Linked DNA regions of Tamandua tetradactyla. The protein of the gene in region 1 interacts with the protein of each later gene in a pairwise test. Links are inferred from orthologs where the notes say so. Each region holds a gene or a part of one and is shown in the gene's direction. Other genes may lie near its edges.

What was found.
Region 2: the proteins of CLEC7A (region 1) and TMEM79 interact in binary tests that used the Homo sapiens proteins (3 or more experiments, as listed by UniProt). The two-hybrid records come from large-scale screens. The link is inferred for Tamandua tetradactyla from reciprocal best matches to the Homo sapiens genes CLEC7A and TMEM79.
Region 3: the proteins of CLEC7A (region 1) and BNIP3L interact in binary tests that used the Homo sapiens proteins (3 or more experiments, as listed by UniProt). The two-hybrid records come from large-scale screens. The link is inferred for Tamandua tetradactyla from reciprocal best matches to the Homo sapiens genes CLEC7A and BNIP3L.

The regions. Positions count from the first base shown.
Region 1 is NC_135333.1:72,542,360-72,550,347, reverse strand, and holds the start of CLEC7A (C-type lectin domain family 7 member A), read left to right. Parts: upstream 1-4,953; 5' UTR 4,954-5,147; coding exon 5,148-5,250; intron 5,251-7,340; coding exon 7,341-7,436; intron 7,437-7,988.
Region 2 is NC_135330.1:9,312,653-9,319,922, forward strand, and holds the start of TMEM79 (transmembrane protein 79), read left to right. Parts: upstream 1-4,168; 5' UTR 4,169-4,287; intron 4,288-5,067; 5' UTR 5,068-5,110; coding exon 5,111-5,852; intron 5,853-6,125; coding exon 6,126-6,339; intron 6,340-7,270. Other genes in the region: nonsense-mediated mRNA decay factor SMG5, read right to left, coding at 850-923.
Region 3 is NC_135329.1:27,302,324-27,310,009, forward strand, and holds the start of BNIP3L (BCL2/adenovirus E1B 19 kDa protein-interacting protein 3-like), read left to right. Parts: upstream 1-4,621; 5' UTR 4,622-4,727; coding exon 4,728-4,827; intron 4,828-7,686.

The DNA.
Region 1 (7,988 bases):
CTAGTATCCAGAATTCATAAAGAGATTGTTCATCTCAACAACAAAAAGACAGCCAACCCAATTACAAAATGGGAAAAAGACTTGAATAGACACCTCTCAGAAGAGGAAATACAAATGGCCAAAAGGCACATGAAGAGATGCTCAATGTCTCTGGCCATTAGAGAAATGCAAATCAAAACCACAATGAGATAACATCTCACACCCACCAGAATGGCCATTATCAACAAAACAGAAAATGACAAGTGCTGGAGAGGATGCGGAGAAAGAGGCACACTTATCCACTGTTGGTGGGAATGTCAAATGGTGCAACCACTGTGGAAGGCAGTTTGGCGGTTCCTCAAAAAGCTGAATATAGAATTGCCATACGACCCAGCAATACCATTGCTGGGAATCTACTCAAAGGACTTAAGGGCAAAGACACAAGCAGACATCTGCACACCAATGTTTATAGCAGCGTTATTTACAATTGCAAAGAGATGGAAACAGCCAAAATGTCCATCAACAGACGAGTGGCTAAAAAAACTGTGGTATATACATATGATGGAATATTATGCAGCTTTAAGACAGGATAAACTTATGAAGCGTGTAATAACATGGATGGACCTAGAGAACATTATGCTGAGTGAGTCTAGCCAAAAACTAAAAGACAAATACTGTATGGTCCCACTGATGTGAACCGACATTCAAGAATAAACTTGGAATATGTCATTGGTAACAGAGTCCAGCAGGAGTTAGAAACAGGGTAAGATAATGGGTAATTGGCACTGAAGGGATACAGACTGTGCAACAGGACTAGATACAAAAACTCAAAAATGGACAGCACAATAATACCTAATTGTAAAGTAATCATGTTAAAACACTGAATGAAGCTGCATCTGAGCTATAGGTTTTTGGTTTTTTTTTTTTTTACTATTATTACTTTTATTTTTTTTCTCTATATTAACATTCTATATCTTTTTCTGTTGTGTTGCTAGTTCTTCTAAACCGATGCAAATGTACTAAGAAACGATGATCATGCGTCTATGTGATGATGTTAAGAATTACTGATTGCATATGTAGAATGGTATGATTTCTAAATGTTGGGTTAATTTCTTTTTTTCCGTTAATTAATAAAAAAATAAAATAAAAAAATTAGAGGAAATAAGCTTTCTTCAATCAGTCATGAGTAAATGGATGTATAAAAAATAATTTTATTGAAATCACTGACAAATTTGGAGATGATTGGGTCTAAAACAGAAATTATAATGTTGCTATTTATTGTTGTGGCAAATCAATATATGGTTACAAGTACTTTTGCTCTTTTCAAAAATATATAAATATAATTCAAAAGGTTTTACTCATGTAATTGAAAGTATTTTGTGTGGTAAAATCTATTTTAATAGTATTGTATCTATTGCATGTTCTTGTTTATTTTTGTTGTCATATTTTTTATATAAAGCTCAATAAGAATACTTTTCATTGTCTACATTTGTTTTCTGGCCATTTTTATTTATTCCATTTTCGTAATTATTACTGAAAATCATTTTGCTATCTAGAGGAGAGGGCAGTAAAAAAGAAATGATCTGCTTTAGGTTTAAATGAAAAGAAATTCAGTGACTGGTGAAGACACAGAGTTACAAGCACCTAAAAACAAGAAAATTCCACACATGTACCATTTCTACTTGAGAAACATGGGAAGATTCAAATACAAGGCCCATTTGAGTGTGGTTTCTATCTATATAGATATATATAGATATGTACACATACATACACACACATACATTTTCTCTCATATTATAAATGAAAGAAAAGGGGAACAAGGCAGGAGGAATCTTCAAGAGTATGTATAGAATGTGAAAAAAGTAGCAAACTGAAATTACTGAAATAGTAGGGAGGCAGGAGAGTAAATAGATCTAGGAAAGAAGAGTTGAAATAAGATAAGATGGTGAAGGGTACATTTTTCACTATGGAAGATTGATTGATTTTTTAATAGAGATATTTTGATTTAATTGTATTTTTTAAGGCATTCTAAGAAAGGGTTCTATGACAATTAGTTTACTTGTAATAAGCAAATACATCAATTTTGTGGTCTGCACCAACCAAAGGATATTAAAGTAATTTTTATTTGTCTTTTTCTGCCAAGTATAATGTGAACCCAACTGAAATGGGCTTAGGTCCTCATATTTCTTTGTACCCAAGCTTCTGAGAATGTTGTAAATATTCAGCAGCTATTTAATTGCTTAAAGGATGGATGGAGGCAGGAATTGAGAGATGAAGAAATGAAGAAAGGAAGGAATGAGACCCACATGTGAGAATTCAAATTGGAGGTGAAATTTGATTATTTGTTGGAAATTTGTGAGCATGAGCAGGGAAGGTACTTATGTTGCTATTTCCTGAGGACGTACTTGTTTTTTTTCTGCAATGGTTCTTACATGAATGCTTAGTTTATTTTCTTTCAATGTTTTTGTTTTCCACCTAATCCATTTACCCATTTATTTCTGTTTTTTTCTATTTTTATAAGTATAAAATTTCAAAAAATTACATTGGACTGACATACTTCAGACTCTTGTCTCGTGCATTTTCCTGACATGCTACTCATTCTAGTAAACCTACAAAATAGACTTTTATTTACTTTGACATTAGTTTTGAGACTCAGTTCTGGGAGGAGCTTGACATACATAAAAATGAGTGAGTGACCAGGAAGACTCTGGATGCAGTTGCTTCAGTTCTTTCATTTATGTGATATTCAATTAGATTCTTCATTCAGTTAATTAAATTTTAAATCTATAAAATGAGTTTTCCACTTCAAAGAACTCACTTTTCTTCTCCGCTGCCTCATTTTTCTTGGAAGATCACTCTTGCATAATGAATACAATGTTTCATCATATCTCCTCATGAAGATGGATTGGATCATTGTCCCTTGCCTATTTGGTTTTAGGTTAGGTTTGTTTGTGTCTCTCCTCTTTCTTATATTCACGTTTATCCAGGTATATATTTTTGTAATGCTCAGACTGTCTCCTTTCACCTCCTCCTTGCGGTGCTGAGCGTCCCTCACCCCCACCCCAGGTTGTCAATTTAGTTGTCAGCCTTGTGGTTGTAATAAATACATGTTCACTTATTTTGGTCCCAGATAAAAGAAAACTAAAGTTTCTGTTTATTGAACATTTTCTTTGGCACCTTAACCAATTATTTTGTTGGATTGTGATCAAATGGAAGACAGTCATTGTGCCGGTTTGAAGCTATTATATACCCCAGAAAAGCAATGTCCTTTAATCCTCATTCAGTATTGCTGGACAGGATCTTTTTTATTATTTCCATGGAGATGTGACCCACCCAATGGTGGGTGGTGACTTTTGATTAAATGGCTTCCATGGAATTGTGTCTCTATCCACTCAAGGTGGGATTCCTTACTGGAGCCCTTCAGGAGGGAAACATTTTTGAAAAAGGTTAAGAGCCCACACAGCCAAAGATCTTTATAGATGCAGAAGGAGAATGCCCCTGTGGAAGCCTTATGAAATGAAAAGAGAAAGCTAGCAGATGTCACCATGTGCCTTTCCAGCTGAGAGATGTGCTTTGGACCCACTGGCCTTTCTTGAATCAAAGTTTCTTTCCCTGATGCTTTAATTTTGATATTTTCATGGACTTAGAATTGTAAACTTTCAACTTAATGAATTTAAAAGCCATTCCGTTTCTGCATTCTGGCAGATTTGCAAACTAAAACAGTCATGGAGAACAAAAGTCTTGTCATCAGAAAGACTTCGGTTAAGAGCTTGAATTGACAGTATAAAGTCAACTTCGCCAGTTACTTCCAGGGAGATGCGTCCTTCATCATTGTTTTCTGGTTTTGTTTACTAGACTGACCCTTCTTCTTTGAGCCAAGTCAATCTCTCTGTGACAAATATTATGGTATTCCCTGCTTTCCAAGGACTGGATTATAGAACTGGAAGGTTAAAATTATTGAGATTAGATCTACACTACCACTTTGCAACGTATCTACAAATTATTAGTAGAACTTTTGTGGTACATTAAATAAGGAGGGGACAGCCATTTATTTACTCTCCAGTGAAGTCTCATCCATTTTGATACACCTTAGACAGATGTCTCCTGCATTCTGCTCCCTTCAAAGTTTGGTAAATGGATTGAACACCACTCTAGTTTCCAGCAGTGATAAGTGTTTTCCATATATCATTGATTTGGTCATGATTATGAAAATTCAAAGAAAGAACTCTCCATAAACTGTTAATTGCAACAGAAATGAACAGAATGGTGAAGGAGGCAGGGTAAGAAAACAGAAAAGAGCATGAGATTTGCAAGAAGAGTAAACCTTGGTTTATTCTTTACTCCATTTTTAAATTAGCTTTTTAAAGTTGAATAAGGACTGAATTTTCTATGTCACGCTGTCACCATTTGAATATAGGAATAATAATACCTGTGCGCATGGGCTTGCTGGAAAACCGATTAAATGAGAAAATGTGCAACATGCAGTACTAGCACATAATAATTGTTCAATAACTGATTACTACTTTGTATTACTATTCCCTGACAAATCCCAAAGATATTTAATTCCTCTCTCTGTTGTTGTAATAATGCATCTCTTACTATATCCCTCCCAAAACTGCCTGTGGATTTCCCCTATTAGGCAAAGAGCTCCTTCACAGGTATCATTTATTCTTTTATCCCCAACTCCTAGCAATTGAAAAGATGAATAATTAATAGGAGTTTACTGAATGAATGAATACAAAAATAAAAGAATGTTTAAGTATGATGAAGCAATACTGAATTCAAAGAATCAAAATTGCTTAATAGTTTACATATGGCTAAGTCATTAGTGATGTAAAATTCAGTTGTAGAGTCGTGAGAACAGCATCAGACACCCATCTATATATTCTTATTTATTTGGTTTGAAACAAAGAACTACCTACTATGCTGCTGTATACTTTTCTTAAAGTCAAAAGTCTCAAAAACAAGATCTAAAAGCACAAATGGGAAATTACAACAGCATAGTTTTCATTTCCTGCTTTTGTGTATCTGGTTGGACTACTTAAATTCAACTTGTCCATCCCACATGATTTGACTCATAGATACTGTCTTGTGCATGGGCAGTTAAGTTGGAAGGAAAGAGGAAAGAGTTCCCAAATGCTGGGTCTGTTCAGGGATTCAATACAATAATGCAAAGCAATACTGGTTTTGAAAATTTGGATGAAGATGGATATACACAGTTAAATTTCACATCTCAAGGCATCACCAGGAGACCTTTGGTTTCAAAGAAAGGTAATTTTTGTTTTATGCTCTTAACACGGATTTTGTCATCATCTAAAAGTATGTAAGTGGTGAAAATTTGAGAGAATTGTCATTTGTCATATGTAGGGATTTTATTAACATATTTAAAGTTTAGCTTTCCAAAAGTCACTGAAGTGACTTTTGGTCACTTGAATGACCAAAGTAATTTGAATGTACACTAAAATTTTTATCATTGTAACCTAGATAATAGCATTTGGTAGCTAGTTATAGGTTTTTAAATTAATTATGATGATGGCAGTAATACTTCAGCAGTAAAAAACTAGTACTAAGTGAAATCATAGGTAAAGATGAAGGAATTCCTTTAAGAGTGGCTTGTAGCTTGTTTGCTAGAATGGTATAGTTTGTAGAAATATATATAATGTTGCAAATGAGCAATAACAACAGATAAGAAAGAGAAGAATGAAAAGATGAAAAATAGGTGAGGGATGAAACGAAGAGCAAAAGAACTTGTAATGTATGATTAAAGGCCACAGGCCTATCAGAAATCATAGGGTGTAGAATCCTCAATGATTTGTGTGATGAGAGGTTGATTTATGTGTATTTTTGTATCCCAAAAACTAAAGGAAGTTATTGGGATACAAATGATGAAAAATATATATGTTAAATGAAATGATCCCATTAGCAGGACATGGGTCTTAAACAAAATGTAAGTACTGAAATATGGAGTAGGGTAGTAAAAAGATTTGTTTCTTCATAGAATGAGTGATTTAGTTTCCTCTGTGAGTCTCCAACTTGGCAATTCTATGAAATGTTCTTATTACCTATTCTCAGTTAAAAACAGAAATGCATTCTTGAAGTGGTGAAGTTAGCACAATTTCGTTTCCTGTTATTATCAAGGGAGAGACTATTCCTAAGTTTTGACATGAGAAGTCTCTCTCTTCTGCTTTCTGCTGGTTCACATTGCACAACTATTTCCATCTCACCCTGCTTGTATAATTATTTTCTTGGGCAACCACTGGGCAGAGTGGAAAACTCGGTGAGGCAAGAGGTGGGGAGGTGTTTGTGTATTTATGCTTATGTGTGGACAAACACTGAGTACCAAAAATCTGCTGGTAGTCCCTAAACTAACTCCTTTATACAAGGGTTAGTACATTTAATCCCCACAAAAATCACTTGAGGTATTATTATTCAGCTTTCCACAAAGAAAAATAACAAATGATAGGGAGTAATTTGCCCATGGTCATGCAATAAATAAGTGAAAAAGAGATGCTTCATGTTTTGATTTTGCCACCCTCAGTAACCAGTACTCTTTCCCCTACATAAAGCTGTGTCCTCTGAGAAGGAATGGGATTTCAGGGTTCCTGGTAGTGACAAGGCTTAGAGGCATCAAATGTGAAACTGAAATTTAGAGTGCATAGACACCAAGGCTCTGTGCGCAAATTAGAGTTCCAGAAAGAAATTCAGACTAATCCTACATGTCTAGTTTATCTGGGCAGCAGTGACTCATGGTTTTCCTTAGAATTTGTCATATTTTGATGACCTGTAGAAGTAAGAGTGCCAGTGTTCTGGTTTGCTAAAGCTGACAAAATGCAATATATGAGAAATGGGTTGGCATTTAGTAATGGGGATTTATTAATTTACAATTTACTGTTCTTAGGCCATGAAAATGTCCAACTGAAGGCATCAACAGGACGATATCTGCATTCTAAAGAAAGACTGCCAGCATCTGGGATGCTTCTGTGTCCTGCTGGTCCTTCTCTCCTAAAATTCATTGCTTTTAACTTCAGGCTTCAGTGGCTTCCTCCATCAGCTTCTGTGGGTGTGTCTTTGTCGCTCAGATTTTGTGAGTCTTCTCTGAAACTCTAGGCTTTTTCTCTGTGTGTCCTTTAACCTTTAATAAAGGACTCCATTCAAAGTGCTAAGACCCACCTTGAATGAGGCAGATCACATCTCAATTGAAATAACCTACTCAAAAGTTTTCACCTACAACAGGTCTGTAACAACAGGAATGGATGAAAAGAACATGACCTTTTGTGGGGTACATAACACCTTCAAACCACCACAGCCATGATACTTCATCCTGCTTCTTCACTCAATGTCTGCTTCCTTTGTTTCTTTAGGAACTTGTGCCACATCTTGTTGGTGTCCCATTGCTGTGACCCTGGGACTCCTATTTCTGGTAATACTGGTGATTGCTGTGGTCCTGGGCACTATGGGTGAGTGTCTGTGGGAATGGTTAACAACAACAGCAAACATTTAATGAGCATTTATTATGTATCAGACACTTTTTAAAGAGCTTTTCTTACATAATCCCAGTTAATACTTACAATAACCTACTGAATTGGTGCTATTAATTTCCATTTTTCTTAGAGGTTAAAGACTTGGATGTTATTTTACATTTTCAGGGTCATAGGTTATTTAAAGGTGGACACACAAATTAAAATTTAGTCAATCTATCTAGAAAACTAATCTTTGTAACTATACTGGTCTTTTGCCTCCCTTGGATAAGTTGGTTTCAAATGTGTGGAATTCCCAGGGTAAATTTGTACAAGGAAACCACTGGAGTTCAACAACAATGTACAATATGGCACTATTTACATAATGACATAAATTCATTAATGGGATTAAAAGCTATTCTCACAAATTCTGTGATTTAAGGAAATTGTTTTGTAACTTATTTTAGTCTAAAGTCCTCTGAATGTACCAGGTATTTCCTACAGCACTTACAGAGTACTAAGCAGGTATTTTCTGATGGATAAAAGTTCCCT
Region 2 (7,270 bases), on another chromosome or scaffold:
GGGCCTATGTTCCAGCTGTTCCACCCAAAAAATCCTTGATCCAGGGTGGGAAGAGTTTATACTGGCCTGTTCCCAACAGAGGACTCAAGGGCTGAAGATGGGACTTGAGGAGTGTGGGTGGCAGGGTGAAAATCAGAAACCAGGAATGGAGGCTGCCTGGCAAAAAAATGTATCATGAAGCTGGGAAGAGGCAAGATTCCCGTTCCCAGGTGTCCTGACATGGGCTCCAACTTCCTAAGAACATCCTGGACCCAAAGTCCTTTTAGACGTTCCAGTTCAACACAACTAGCCTTCCGGTGTCTCTCTACGCAAACTCCCAAAAATTAGAACCAGGAAAGACTTCAGAGCTTATCCAATGCAGATCTCTCCTTTTAAGAACGAGGAAACTGAGGCCCAAGGTCACACAACGAAAGAGTGTCAAAGCAAGGACCTAAACCTGGCTCTCTCTAGTTCAGGACTCTCCCCTGTTCATCCATTCACAAAGAATCCCCACCGGGTTCTTCCGGATTTTTCGCCATCTGTGACTCCACTCTCACCTCCCCAACCTCTCCAGCCCCCAATTCGCAGACTCTTATCCCAACTCCGCAAAGCTCGGCGCCCGACCCAAGCTGCCTGCGGAAAGTATTCCTCCACGTGCTTTCCTCCAGCTCTCCCACCCACCCAATTCCTTTTCAGCTCCTTTCCGGGTTACCGGGTCCCGCGCCTCACCTGCTCCCTCCAAAACTGCACGGTCCTCCCTCGCCCGCACCCTCCCCAGCCCGGCACCCGGGCCCCGCCCGCCTGGGAGGCCCCGCCCCCGCTGTCCCCCTCTTCCCTAGGTGGCTGCACTCACACCCCGGCCCCTCTCACCGGTAAAGCCGCTTAGTATGGAGGACCTTTGCTTCGGGCTCGCTGCTCTCCCCTGTGGGGGGGCCTTGGCTCATGGTGCCCGGGCCCGGGGGCAGCTCCCGGTCACAGGCCCCCACCACCCGCCGCTACCGCCACCGCTGCCGTCTCCGGCCGCAGCCGCCACCGCTGCCGGCCCTGCTCGGCCGCCATCGCTGTGAGGCGGCTGCCCGCGACAGCTCCTCCTCCGCCTGCCAAATCTCGCGATACAGCTGCACAGGTGCAGACCAGTGGCCGGCTGCTGCCAAATCTCGCGAAACTCATTTTCCCTCCCGGGAAGTTGCCAGAACTAACTCTGGGCATCATGGCCTCTTTCCGGCTACTCCAAGCCCTTGAGAAAAACTTTATTGACAAAGCTGCTAGACAGCGGACAGTGGACTCAGTGAGAGGGCTGAAGCTCAGCTGAGTTTGGGCAGGCAGGCAGCCTAGGAGCCTTGCTTTGTCTTGTCCTACTGTGTTCATTTGGTTTGGCTCATCTTTCTGCCCGTCCTTCCCATCCTTACCCCCCCCCCCCCCCCAATATGAGCCGAGCCTTGTTCAGAGTGCTGGTTAGAACGATTCCAATTCTCCATTTTCCCCATAATTTAAAAAAAAAAAAAAAGCGCACGTGAACATTTCCTCGGAAAGAATCGAGTACTACTTAGGAGCAAGACCCGAGAAAACATGACTTTTGTACAAGTGTCTCAATCCATCACCTCCCGCTCTCAAAGCTTTCTAGCTTGCACATGTATCTAGCACCAGTCCGGAAAACATTTATTGAACACCTGCTGTCATCCAGGCACTGTGCTGGGTTGTGCTGGGTTGTGGGGACGCTGAGATGAGCAAGCTGAACACTGTCCCTGCTCTCAAAGAGTTCCAGTGATTTTAGGGATAATGTCCCATGAAGATGAACAGTCATTCTCTAGTCTGCTCTCTAACGTTCTGGCCTCTGGTCCTCACATTGGAAAGATCACTTGGTATCTAACTAGGATTCCTATTGCTTTTTATTTTTTTGTATGCTGTATGGCCGGATAATATTTCATTATATTGCCATGTGAGTATCCGGTTGTTGCAGCACCATTTTTGTTGGAATTTTTGTTTGTTTTGCTTGTTGTTTGGTTGTTTGTTTTTGGGGATAGTGCATGATCCAGGAATCAAACCTGGGTCTCACGCATGGCCAGCAAGAATTCTACCACTAAACTACCATTGTACCCCCTCTTATTACTTTTTTAACCTTAAACCAGACCTAAACAGCAAGGTGTTTCTGTGATACCACAAGCACAGCTCTTTCCATAAAAGGGTCCACCTGACCCGGTGCTATAAAGGAGAAACAAACCTCTCGGTGTGAAGGTGATTTATTGCAAGTACACTTTGCAAGGAACTGGAGGAATCGTCCCCAAACCAGTTCAAAGTGGGGGTGTGAGTTAAGCGTTTTAATAGGTAAAGGAAGGATTATAAGGGGTCAAAAACTAGGTAATGGCCACTTGATTAATTCCTGTCAGGTCAGCAATGACACTGGATCTTCATGAGGAAGGCACCAGCAAATTTCTCAACCCTGTGTTGTCTCAAGCACATTTTGTTGTTTCAGCTTTGGTGATAAGATTTAGTTATTGACGTAGAAGCTCTTATGCTCATCACTTTTCTTAGCTGACCTTCAGATATGTCAAACTTTTTGTCACTGATTCACTGAGCTACTGGGTGTTCTTTTTTTTTTTTTCCAAGTTTTATTGATAAAACAACATACAAGCACATACATTTGTAACATACAAATATTCCATACGTGGTATACAATCAGTGGCTCACAGTGTCATCACATAGTTGTATATTCATCACCATGATAATTTTTTAGAACATTTGCATCACTCCAAAAGAAAGAAAAGACTCATGTATACCATACCCCTTACCCCTCCCTCTCATTCACCACTAGTTTTTCCATCTACCCAATATATATATTTTTTAACTTTAGTATTTGTTTCCCCTGTTTAGTTATTTTTAATCCATACATTTTATTCATCTGTCCATACCGTAGATAAAAGGAGCATCAGACACAAGGTTTTCACAATCACACAGTCACATTATGAAAGCTATATCATTATACAATCATCTTCAAGAAACATGGCTACTGGAACACAGCTCTACATTTTCAGGCACTTCCCTCTAGCCTCTCTAATATATCTTAAACTGAAAAGGGGATATCTATACAATGCATAAGAATAACCTGCAGGATAACCTCTCGACACTGACACTTTATTTTATCTCATTTCTCTCTTCCCCCTTTCCGTCAAGAAGATTTTCTCAATCCCATGATGCTGAGTCCCAGCTCACCCTAGGATTTCTATCCCACGTTACCAGGGATGTTTACACACCTAGGAGTCGTGTCCCGCATGTAGAGGGGAAAGCGGTGAGTTTGCTTGTCATGATGGCTGAGAGAGAGAGAGGCCACATCTGAGCAACAGAAGAGGTTCTCTTGGGGGTGACTCTTAGGCCTAATTTTAAGTAGGCTTAGCCTATCCTTTGCGGGGATAAGTTTCATAGGAACAAACTCCAAGATTGAGGGCTCAGTGATGCTATTCTGTTATTTTATCCCTGTAAGAAGAACGAAGAAGGTCTGGTTAATGTCCTTCTGGAACTAAGTACAAAGAGTATATTGCTAACCTCAGCTGGGGTAAGCATATTTTCCAGCAATCACCTGGACCCGTATACCTGTTATAATGGGAACATAAATTCCCCCTTCCACCTGATGCTCCTGCCACAATTCACCTGACCTTCTTTTTGTTCTTGAAACAGCTCAAATCTAAATCCTTCCCACCAGTTGCCTTTCACTTCTGTTCCTCTGCTCGGAATGCACATACTCCTGATTTCTCATCAGGTCTCAGCTTAAATGCCACCTTGTTAAAAACGTTTCCCTTACTGAATTTGTCTTATTTAGTTACTAAGCTTCTTCACTTTCTGCCACTCCAATAGAACATAAGTAAGTTCCTCAAGAGTAGGGGCCTTGCCTGTTAGCTTTTCTCATCTGTGCCAATACCTAGCTAATAATATGTGCTCGATAAATATTGATTGAATGAATGAATGTACGAATTCCACTTTTTTTCTGGATATCCCAACCTACTCCAAGCACCTTTAGGTGTACAGACCCACTCTCCCTGCTCTGTCTTCCTGGGCTGGCAGCTCCTACACATCCTCCACTTGCCTCCTACTTCCAGCAGCCCCACTTCCAGAAAGGCTTTTTCTGTCGGCAGATACAGCAGGGCGGGGCCTGCGCCTTTAATCTGGGCTCCACCTGCTCTGGTCGGACAGGTTTGGAGACACAGGTAGAGGGAGGGAGTCCGAGAGAAATACTTGCAGAACCAGCAGGGAGTTCGGCAGCTCCTTCCTGGAGGGCCGGGACGCCAGGGACCCGCTGCCTTCTCCAAATGGAAAGTAAGAGGGTCTCATGGGTCTGAATGGTTGAGGGTAGGCAGGCACTCCAGGACATGGAAGGAGAGGACTCAGTCTCATCCACAGGAGCAGAGAGATGGAGGGCAGCAGGCAGGGGAGGAAGGCAGGAGAGGAGGCATGGGAAACAGCCATGATTAAGCCTAGAAGTTGAGAATGGACAGACCAGGACTCTGCGGAGGTGGGCTAATGGGGAATTCAGCAACTGACCAAGTACCCAGATTGGGGGTGAGGGGGCAGGCCACCTGGGGACTGCCAGCCCCTTGGGACACATGTGTTGGCAAATCACAGGTACCACCTCCAGGAGAGTCCTACCTAAGCAGGGAGGTGGGGAGGTGGGAAGTTGGAGGGGCCGTTTCTCTGACCACAGGAAGATCTTTAGCGGGAAGGAAACGCTCGGCAATATTCTAGACACCTCCTCTTCCTCTCGTTCCTGGATGAGGGTGGCCATGACCCCAGGGGTTTTGGTGGAGGGGTAGAAGGCATGGGCGGGCCGGCTGAGGCCGCAGCTGCCAGGGCCTGTGCCCCCTGACTCACCCTCTCCTGCTGGATGGCACCTGATGTCGAAAGGTGCCTCCATTTCAGCTGCTCACTTCTTCCCTCCCTCCTCCCTCTGTTTCAACATCTCCCTCCACACCATGTTCTCCCTAAGGTCCCAAAAGAGACCAATGCCCATGAGATTGGCCTCTCTGGAGAGTTCCAGTTTCTGCCAACTGCTCGGAAGGGCCGGGGGCCTCTGACAGAGCTTCCCTCTGCTCCCTGCAGGGTGACACAAGCTCACGATACACCCCAGACCTGAGGCCCCAGGATGACAGAGCCCGAGACCCTGACCCTGCTGGAAGTGAAGGGACCTGAGGTCCTGGAGAAGAGCCCACCCCAGGCCCTGGTTCCCAATGGCCGGCAGCCAGAAGAGGAAGGTGAAGCCGAGTGCCCCAGAGCAGGCTCTCCAGCGGGGTGTCCCACGGCTGCGGAGGAGACTGAGGCTGGTCTGGGAAGCACGGTGAGCGAGGCTGCCACCCTGCCCTGGGGGACTGGCCCCCAGCCCAGTGCCCCATTCCCCGATCCCCCCGGCTGGCGGGACATGGGGCCAGAGCCCCTCGAGTTGGAGCCCCCCACCAAGCCCGAGGAACTCCCCGGAGACGATGACAACCTGCTGCCCACGAAGGCTGCGCGGGCCTTTGTGCCCATCGACCTCCAGTGCATCGAGCGGCGGCCCCCCGAGGAGCGCGCTGTGTGCCGGGAGACGGCCGAGGCCCAGCGCAGAGCCTTCCGGCCCGCCCGGGTCATCCACCCGGAGCCCCCCAAGTGCAAGTGGGCCGAGGCAGCAGTGAGGTCGCCCGGCCCCTCCTGCGGGGCCTGCAGGCGCTGCGGGGGCCGCGAGGGGCTGCGCGCCGTGGCCTCGGTGGGGGCCGCCCTCGTCCTCTTCCCCTGCCTCCTGTACGGGGCCTTCGCCTTCCTGCCCTTCGACGCCCCGCGGCTGCCCACCGTGAGCTCCCGCCTGGTCTACACGCTGCGCTGTGGGGTCTTTGCCACCTTCCCCATCGTGCTGGGTGAGTCCGGGCCCCGCAAGGAGAAAGGGCGCCAGACCCGGGGAGGGCAGGGCCTGCCGGCCGTGGGGAGTGGGAGCCCAGGCCCCTTGGCGCCCCCTGTCCCCCTGCTCCCCACCCCCTGTGTGCCCATCCCCTCCCAGGACCCCCAGCCCCACTGGGCACAGCCTAGGCCCTGTCCTTCTGCGAGGCCTGCCCCCCTCTGCCCTGGGCCCTGCCCCCTAGCCTCCTGCCTGTCCTGACCCCATGTGCCCCCCACCCCCACCCCCACCCCAGGGCTCCTGGTGTATGGGCTGAGCCTGCTGTGCTTTTCTGCCCTGCGGCCCTTCGGGGAGCCTCGGCGGGAGGTGGAGATTCATCGGCACTATGTGGCCCAGTCAGTCCAGCTCTTCATCCTCTACTTCTTCAACCTGGCCGTGCTCTCCACATACCTGCCCCAGGATGCCCTGAAGCTGCTGCCACTGCTCACTGGTCTCTTTGCCATCTCCCGGTGAGTTGGGGCTAGGGGCGGGGCCTGGGGGAGGCGATGGTGCCAGAGGGGCCGCAGGCATCCGACAGGCTAGAGGGCCAGGGACAGCGGGCGGCTTTTGGGATTCTGCAGCAGCTCAAATGTGCAACCTGGAGAGGTGAGTGCTTCCCCCCTTGCCCCTGACCTCACTTGGTTGTAGATGATCAGCCCATAGGCCTTCCCCCAGGAAACTGATTTCAGAGACACACACGCCAGCCTTGAAAGCAAAAGGGCCTTCAGGTGCCATCGCGGTCAAACTCCCACTCGTTGCAGCCACTCTTCCTCTGGGGCACTCTGGCCAGGTGGCCCTTGGCTGCTAGTTGTGCGGCCCCTGTGACGAGGTGCTCAGTTTGTTTTATTTTTTAAAGGTTAGAAAGGTTTTCTTTATATTGTGCTGAAAACTGCTACCTTGACTTTGATCTCTGGAACAAACTCAGACATTTGATATTGAAATGCCTCTCATTTCTCTCTATCCCAACACCCTGCTCCCCCATTTTCTTTATTTTGCTAAATGTCCCTGGTCCCTTCACTGTCCTGGGTCCTTCCCACTACGCAGAAAATTCTCTGGTTTGTCAATGGGGCCAGTCATATTACTCTCCTGTCATTCTGAGTTTGTAGTCCCTGATGTCCTGAGGGTTTTGTTTTTTTGTTTTTGTTTTTCTTTGTATGCCGTATGGTGGGGTCACATTTCATTATTTTTCCATGTGAGTATCCCATTACTGCAACACCATTTGTGGAATTTTTGTTTGCTTTGCTTGTTTTTTTGTTTTGCTTGTTTGTTTTTTGGGAAGGGCATGGACCAGGAATCGAACCCGGGTCTCCTGCATGGCAGGCTAGAATTCTACCACTGAACTACCCTTGCACCCCCGTCCTTAGGGTTCTATTTTTCATGTGAATTACTGTTAACTCAGAA
Region 3 (7,686 bases), on another chromosome or scaffold:
TAAATATATATAGTTTTAATAATAGTTTTGTCTCTGACATGCCAGTAAAACTGGAAGAGTATTAGAGTTTGTAACTCCTTACCTCTGTAAAAATACCATACCGACCTTATAGTCTTAAAATAACATAAAAAAGGCTCTCTCTACCACAGTGCCTATCAAATAGAAGGCACTACGAAGTTTAGTTTCCTCTGAAAGTCTAGTTTGACAAACAGGTAATTAAATCGCTGTAGGGGAAAAGCTTAATGTTCATCTTTAATAGCACCAAGTTATTTGAGGACTTTTCCACTAGAGGGCAACAGTTAAGTCTTAACAGCCTTTACCAGGTATTTTTTGAGAATGCATGAACAAGAGGATTTCTGTTTTTTTGCTGGAAGATCCTCATTATTAAAAACCAGATCAGGGTCCAAATAAAGAGAAGTCCAGATAAAACCACTATTCAGTGTGTTCCTTGAGTGTTTGAGGGGCCTGGTGATAAAAAAGGGCAACCCAAATGCAAACTGATATCTTTCATGGTCCTTCATACATCATTGGGGAAGGAGCAAAAAGGCAGAGGGTTCTGAGCTGCCATTTTTTTCATTCACAGGCTACTTAGTCTGCCCACCCCTGTGCAAAGGCAGATCCTTCTTGTTACATGAGCAAATTCTACATCTTCCTTCATAAGGAGACCAGGAATTTCATGTTGCACATTAATGCTGAGTTGACTAGACTGTCTAAATTCATTCATAGATAGCTTGCATATAAGAGTAATACATGCACTTTAGAAAGTACAGGAAAAAGGAAGAAACGCCAATCTCATTGGGTGAGAAAACCTATGCATTCTTACGAATTTACTTTTAGAAATTTTTACTTTTAGAATGTGGAATCTTGTTCAAAGGATATGGGTGTATTTATGATTTGGTTCATACTTCCAAATTTCTCCTTCCAAAAATGGAAGTTTCCATCAGAAGTATAGGAGATTAACCTTATTTTCACACTTTCGAAGCTGGACAAAAATCTCATGCTTCATCTTAGTTGATTTGGAAAAGTAAAAAATGGTAACCCAATTTGCATATTGTGAAATTTTAATAGTGTCTTTTGAAGAGCAGAGGTTCTTGATTTTTCATAAAGTCAAATTTGTTCATTTTATGCATTATGCTTTTTTGGGTCATATATAAGAAATCTTTGCCTAGTCCAAGGTCACAATGCTTTGCTATTTTATTTTAGAGTTTAATAGTTTCAATTTTTGCCTATGACTCATTTTGAGTTGATTTTTATATATGGTATAAGGTATGGATAGATGTGGGTTGTTATGCAAATGGAGATCCAATTGTTTTAGCATCATTTGTTGAAAAGACTATCCAGTCTATATATGCCTTAAAGTCAGATACTTAGAGTAAATCAACTCTTTCATTCTTCAAAATTTTGTTGTTCTAGTTTCTCTGCTTTACCATGTACATTGTATAATCAATCAGGTTGTTTCAAAATAAATTCACTTGGATTTTAGTGATAATTGCATTGAATCCATAGACCAGTTCGGGGAGAATCATCATCTTAACATTTCTCTTCCAATTAATGAATACAGCATATTGCTCCAATTATATAATTCTTTGGCTTCTGTCTTCAGTATTTTGTAGTTTTTAGCAACAAGAATACCTTCAATGAATACTCTATCATGTTAAAAAAATATCTACCTCGCCCTATTTTTTTCTTCTTAATCAAATGCGTTTGGTAATTGAGTTTACTTTTCGTTTTCAACTATTAAAGAAATGAATTAATATTGGATTTTTACTTCTGTATACTAATTCAGATTGATTTTTAATATTTGTGTGTAGCTATTTTTGTCAGAATTATTCCAGCTTTCTAAAATGAAAGATACTGTCTTTTCATGCCTTTAAACACCTTGCTTCTCTAGACCCCATAGTGAAAACTATTTTCAGGACATTAAAATGGAAAGCCTGATATACAATAACAGTACTAGTTCCAACATATTTACATTATCAGTAAATGTAAATTTGTTAAACTACCCTATTAAAAGAATTTTGGGTTGGATCCTAAAGCGAAAGCTACATTTTGCTGTAATCAAGTGACTCAGGTTGAAAATTAAAAGAATGGGTGCATCAGGTCAATGCAACTAAAGAATAAAAATTTAAAAAACAAGGCTCATGATCACAATATCAGACAAGGTTGAACTGAGGACAAAATACCACTTCATGATGATAAAGAATTATGAACAAATGTATCAAATAATGAAGCATCAAATATAACTAAAGAAGATAAAAGAATAAACAGAAACACAGTAAGAGTAGGGGTTATTAACTGATCTCTTGGAATCCCATCACAGAGAGAAAAAAGTAACTATGAAAAAATGGCATTACTATTAAAGTAGTTCCAGTAGATACATCAAACCTGATACCCTGAACACAGAAACTACATGTTTTTTTCAAGTACTCATGGAATATTCCCTGAAAAGAACCATATGTTAGGCTTCAAAGAAAACTTAAAAAAAATTCCCCAAGCTAGAAATGATATAAAGACACATTCTGATCAGGCAAAAGTTCTTAGACTTAAAAATTCAAATTAATAAAAGAATTATATAAGCATCAAACCTAAGAAATTAGGAAAATTAAGGAATGACTGCTAATTGGTACTGGGTTTCTTTCTTTTGGGGATGATAAAATGTCCCAAAATAAGTTCTGCTAATTTTGCAAAACTGTGAATAATACACAAAACATTACATTTTAAACTTTAAATACATTCATTGTACAGTATAATATGAATTATATGTCAATTAAGCTGTTTTAAAAAAGGATTAAGAATAGTACAACCAGGAAGCAGGGATCAGAAAACAAACAAAGGGCAGAACCGAAAATTACAGGACATTTTTACTTTAGAATTATAAAACAGATAAACTATTTGCTAACATAATCAAGAAAAAATAAAGGATAAATAACCCAAAGTAAGAAATAAATCTAAGATCGTAGAAAAAGGGAACTAACACTCCCAACATGTTTTCATAGAAGAACTGCACTTTATCTTTAAAGAAAAGTGATTTTCAATTTAAGCTACTCAAGATCATAGAAGAGGAATTTCAAATTACTTTTTTACAAGATGAGCATAAGAGTATAACAAAGCTCAAAACAGTTTAAGAAATGTCAATTACCTAAAAGAAATCAGAATAAGAAGGGAGATCATGACCCTGAATGGGAAGACAATGTTGTAATTGTGTCAATCACTCATTCCCCCCAATTAGTGTATTAATTGAACACATTTCTGATCAAAATCTTAAAAGAACTTGCAATAGGACATAAAATCAATTATTCAAAAAAAACTTTCAGCGTAAAGTATTTCAAATATATTAAAAAGTTGGAAGAATAGTTTAGTGTACCCGTCACCTACCTTCAATAACTACCAATCAATTTTAAAATTCATCTGAGGAGTAATTAAGTTAAAATAGTTATTAAATATTTTTAAAAGACAAACGAGAAGAAATTTTCTCTAACAGTTATTTAATAGAGTTATTGTAAAGGGCCCTGAAAAGGACCCACGTTATTGTGGGAATTTAGAACATTGCAAAGGGGCAATTTTAAATCAGTGTGGAATGTTTGGCTTCAAAATGTACCAATATTGTAGGGTCAGCTGACTATTCGACTGGGAAAGAACAAAGCTAATTCACAAAATATCAAAATTAAATTTCACATGGATTAAATGTAAAATGTAAAAATTACATCTATTAAGGATTAGAAGACATTATGGGGGAATATATTCATAATCGCAGAGTGAAGGTCTTCCTAAACAATATGACTGATAGATTTGATAATATGAAGTTTTACATTTCTTCAAAGTGAAACAAAGTTAAAAGACAAGAGAGACTGAGAGAAAACGTATACCACACATAAATCAGACCATGGAAACTGGAAGAAGACATGGAAATATAAAGAAGGTGGAGTATTTAGGAACATAAATGGTTTAGTGTCACACAGCTTCCTATGAAGTAGATCGCAGAGATAAATTAGATGACGGGATTGGGGGTAATTATTTTCTTCCCATGTTTTCCCTGAATCTTTCCCATTGCTTACAATGGTCGTGTATTATTAAAATTTAAAAAGTCATTAAATTTAAAACTAGAAAAAATTTAAATTTATAATTAAAATTTAAAAAGTTATTAAAACGACAACTAACAAAGTCTGGGCTGTCTCATATTGTTCCCTGTTTGCGGTCTTAATGTTCCGCAGATTTATCTTAATATATGCTAGGAGTCCCTGAGTTTTTTGCTTCCTTTGTGTCATCACGAAACCTACGAGAGAACTGAGAGTCTGTAACAGATACGGAAAAATAAATGTTCACAGACTGGATAAAACAACGTTGATTCTGCAGGTGCGGGAGATTTGAGCGCTCACACAGTAGCACCTTACACTTCCTCATTATATACTTCTCCCTATCCTCTATCCCAGTGCCATCTGTATAACTCATTCCATCCAGTCGGTGCGAATTACGTGCAAGAATTCACTCCTGGCACGGACGTCATCCTGACTCTCGCGTCTCCACGTCTGTGCCTCGCACGGGAACGCCCAGGTCCCGCCCCGTCGTTTGTTGTGTTGTTATCACGTGGCCTAGGCGGGCTCTGACGTCAGCGCAGGGGCGGGTCTGCGCAAGCGCAGAAAAGGGGGCGGGGGACTCAGCTTGTTGTGTTGCTGCCGGAGAACCAGAGACGGTCCTGCTGCGACCGCAGCTCTCACAGGCGTTGGACGATGTCGTCTCATTTAGTTGAGCAGCCGCCGCCTCTGCATAATAACAACAACAACTGCGATGAAGGTGAACAGCCTTTGCCACCGCCAGCCGGCCTCAACAGTGAGTGCTGGGCGGGTGGGATTGGTGAAGGGTATGGGGGAGGAGGAGCTGGTCGGGCCGCCACCACAAGCTTAACGCGGGGGGCGAGGGAGGTGCGTGCGGGAAGAGAAGGCAGCCTATTGGTCAAGGCGGTGGATGTTGGTGTGACTGACAGCTCCCATCCCCTGTCAGGAAGACTTGCTCTTGTCTTCCTCTTCGCCATTCTCTCCTCTTTTCTTAGATCTTGGGTTGGGGCTGTTTCGGTTCGGTGTTAGGGTTGTGCGAGTGGGAAGGAAGAGAAGGGGTCCGAGTTCCGAGCCGGTAGCTGGAAGAGAAGATTCCGCCCGGGGTGGGGCCGCAGAAGCGGGGCCAATGGAGGCCTGGAGGGGGCGGGGCGCGGGGCGCGGGGCGGAAAGGCGGGGCGGGGACGGTGGGCGGAGCGGGCGGCTGCGGGGCCGTAGGGAGACCTGGGACGTGCAGCGGGGCCGCGGGGGGATGGACGGGTGGGAGGGCAGGACGACGGGGGCTGGGGAGCCGAGGGAGCTGTGGTAGCTCAGGTGTGCAGTGGGCCTCGAGCCTTTGCATCAGCTGAATTAAAGTCGCCGAATTGGGCTTTCCCCAAGGTTCGGCACGAGAGATCGCTTGTTGCGTTCTTTTGTTACCACAGTGAGGAACATCCATTTGGTAATTTAGTGGTTACCTGAATCTTGTGTGGGTGTGAGGAGGCTAAGTTACTTTTTTCTTTTCTTTTTCTTCTTTTTTTTTGAGTTCTCTCAAAGTTGCTTAAGCGATTTTTTTAAACATTTGTTCCCCCTATTATTTTTTATTTTTAATCCATATGTTTTACTCGTCTGTCGATAAGATAGATAAAAGGAGCATCAGACACAAGGTTTTTCACAATCACACAGTCACATTGTGAAATCTACATCATTATACAATCACAGCTCTACATTTTCAGGCAGTTCCTTCCAGCCTCTCCGTTACACCTTAACTAAAAAGGTGATGTCTATAAAATGCGTAAGAATAACCTCCAGGATCACCTCTTGAGTCTGTTTGAAGTCTCTCAGCCACTGACACTTTATTTTGTCTCATTCCCCTCTTCCCCCGTTCCGTGGAGAAGGTTTTCTCAGTCCCTTGATCAAGCTAAGTCCCAGCTCATTCTAGGATTTCTGTCCCTCGTTGCCAGGAAGGTCCACACCCCTGGGAGTCATGTCCCACGTAGACAGGGGGAGAGTGGTGAGTTTGCTTGTTGTGTTGGCTGAGAGAGAGAGGCCACATCTGAGCAACAAAGGAGGTTCTCTTGGGAATGACTCTTGGGCCTAATTTTTTTTTATTGATAAAAAAAAAAATTTATTTATAAAAAAATTTAACAGACCAAATAAAACGTTAACATATCTATAATCAGTAATTCACAATATCATCACTTAGTTGCATATTCATCATTTCTTAGAACATTTGCATCAATTCAGAAAAAGAAACAAAAAGACAATAGAAAAAGAAATAAAACAAAAACAGAAAAGAAAAAAAAAAGATTTTACCTACCATACCCCTTACTCCTCACTTTCATTGATCACTAGCATTTCAAACTAAATTTATTTTAGCATTTGTTCCCCTATTATTTATTTTTATTCCATATGTTCTACTTGTTTGTTGACAAGGTAGATAAAAGGAGCATCAAACACAAGGTTTTCACAATCACACAGTCACATTGTGGAAGCTATATCATTATTCAGTCATCATCAAGAAAAGTGGCTACTGGAACATAGCTCTGCATTTTCAGGCGGTTCCCTCCAGCCTCTCCATTACATCTTGGTTAACAAGGTGATAACTACCTAATGCATAAGAATAACCTCCAGGATAAGCTCTCAACTCTGTTTGGAATCTCTCAGCCATTGATACTTTGTCTCATTTCCCTCTTCCCTCTTTTGGTGGAGAAGGTTTTCCCAATCCCTGGATGCTGAGTCTTAGCTCATTCTAAGATTTCTGTCCCATGTTGCCAGGAAGGTCCACACCCCTGGGAGTCAAGTCCCAGGTAGACAGGGGGAGCATGGTGAGTTTGCTTGCTGTGTTGGCTGGAGAGAGAGGCCACATCTGAGCAACAAAAGAGGCTCTCTTGGGGGTGACTCTTAGGCCTAAATTTTAAGTAGTCTTGACCTATCCTTTGTGGGGTTAAGTTTCATCTGAACAAACCCCAAGACTGGGGGCTCAGCCTTTTGCTTTGATTGTCCCCACTGCTTGTGAGAATATCAGGAATTCTCTACTTGAGGAAGTTGAATTTTCCCCTTTTCTTGTCATTCCCCCAAGGGGACTTTGCAAATACTTTTCTGTTCACTGTTCAAATCACTCTGGGATTTATTGGGGCATCACTCTGGACAAACCTACAAAATCTCATGCCCTACTCAAGGTTCCATCTATTTATGGTGTTCAGTTAATCTCTCCACAGAAGTTATATTAGGAAATGCAGTAGTCAAAATATAAATTTTGTACCAAATAAACATTTTTTAAGAGATTTTTTGAAACGACGGGATTGTGTGCCAGTAAACCTGTCTATACAGAGTGTCTTTTTGGAAAAAAAAATTTTATTGAGATATATTCGTGCATCGGTCCACCAAACTATGCAATCATTGGTTCACGGTATCTTCACATTTGTGTATTCGTCATCATGATCATGTTTAGAACATTTGTATCACTCCAGAAAAAGAAATAAAAAGACAAAAGAAAAAAAAAATACATCCCATACCCCTTACCCTCCCTCTCATAGTATTGCAATCTACCCATTTTTTTTTTTTACCCCTTATCCCCCCCATTATTTATTTATTTTTTGTCCTTATATATTAACTTATCCATCCATACCCTGAATAAAGGGAGTATCAGACACAT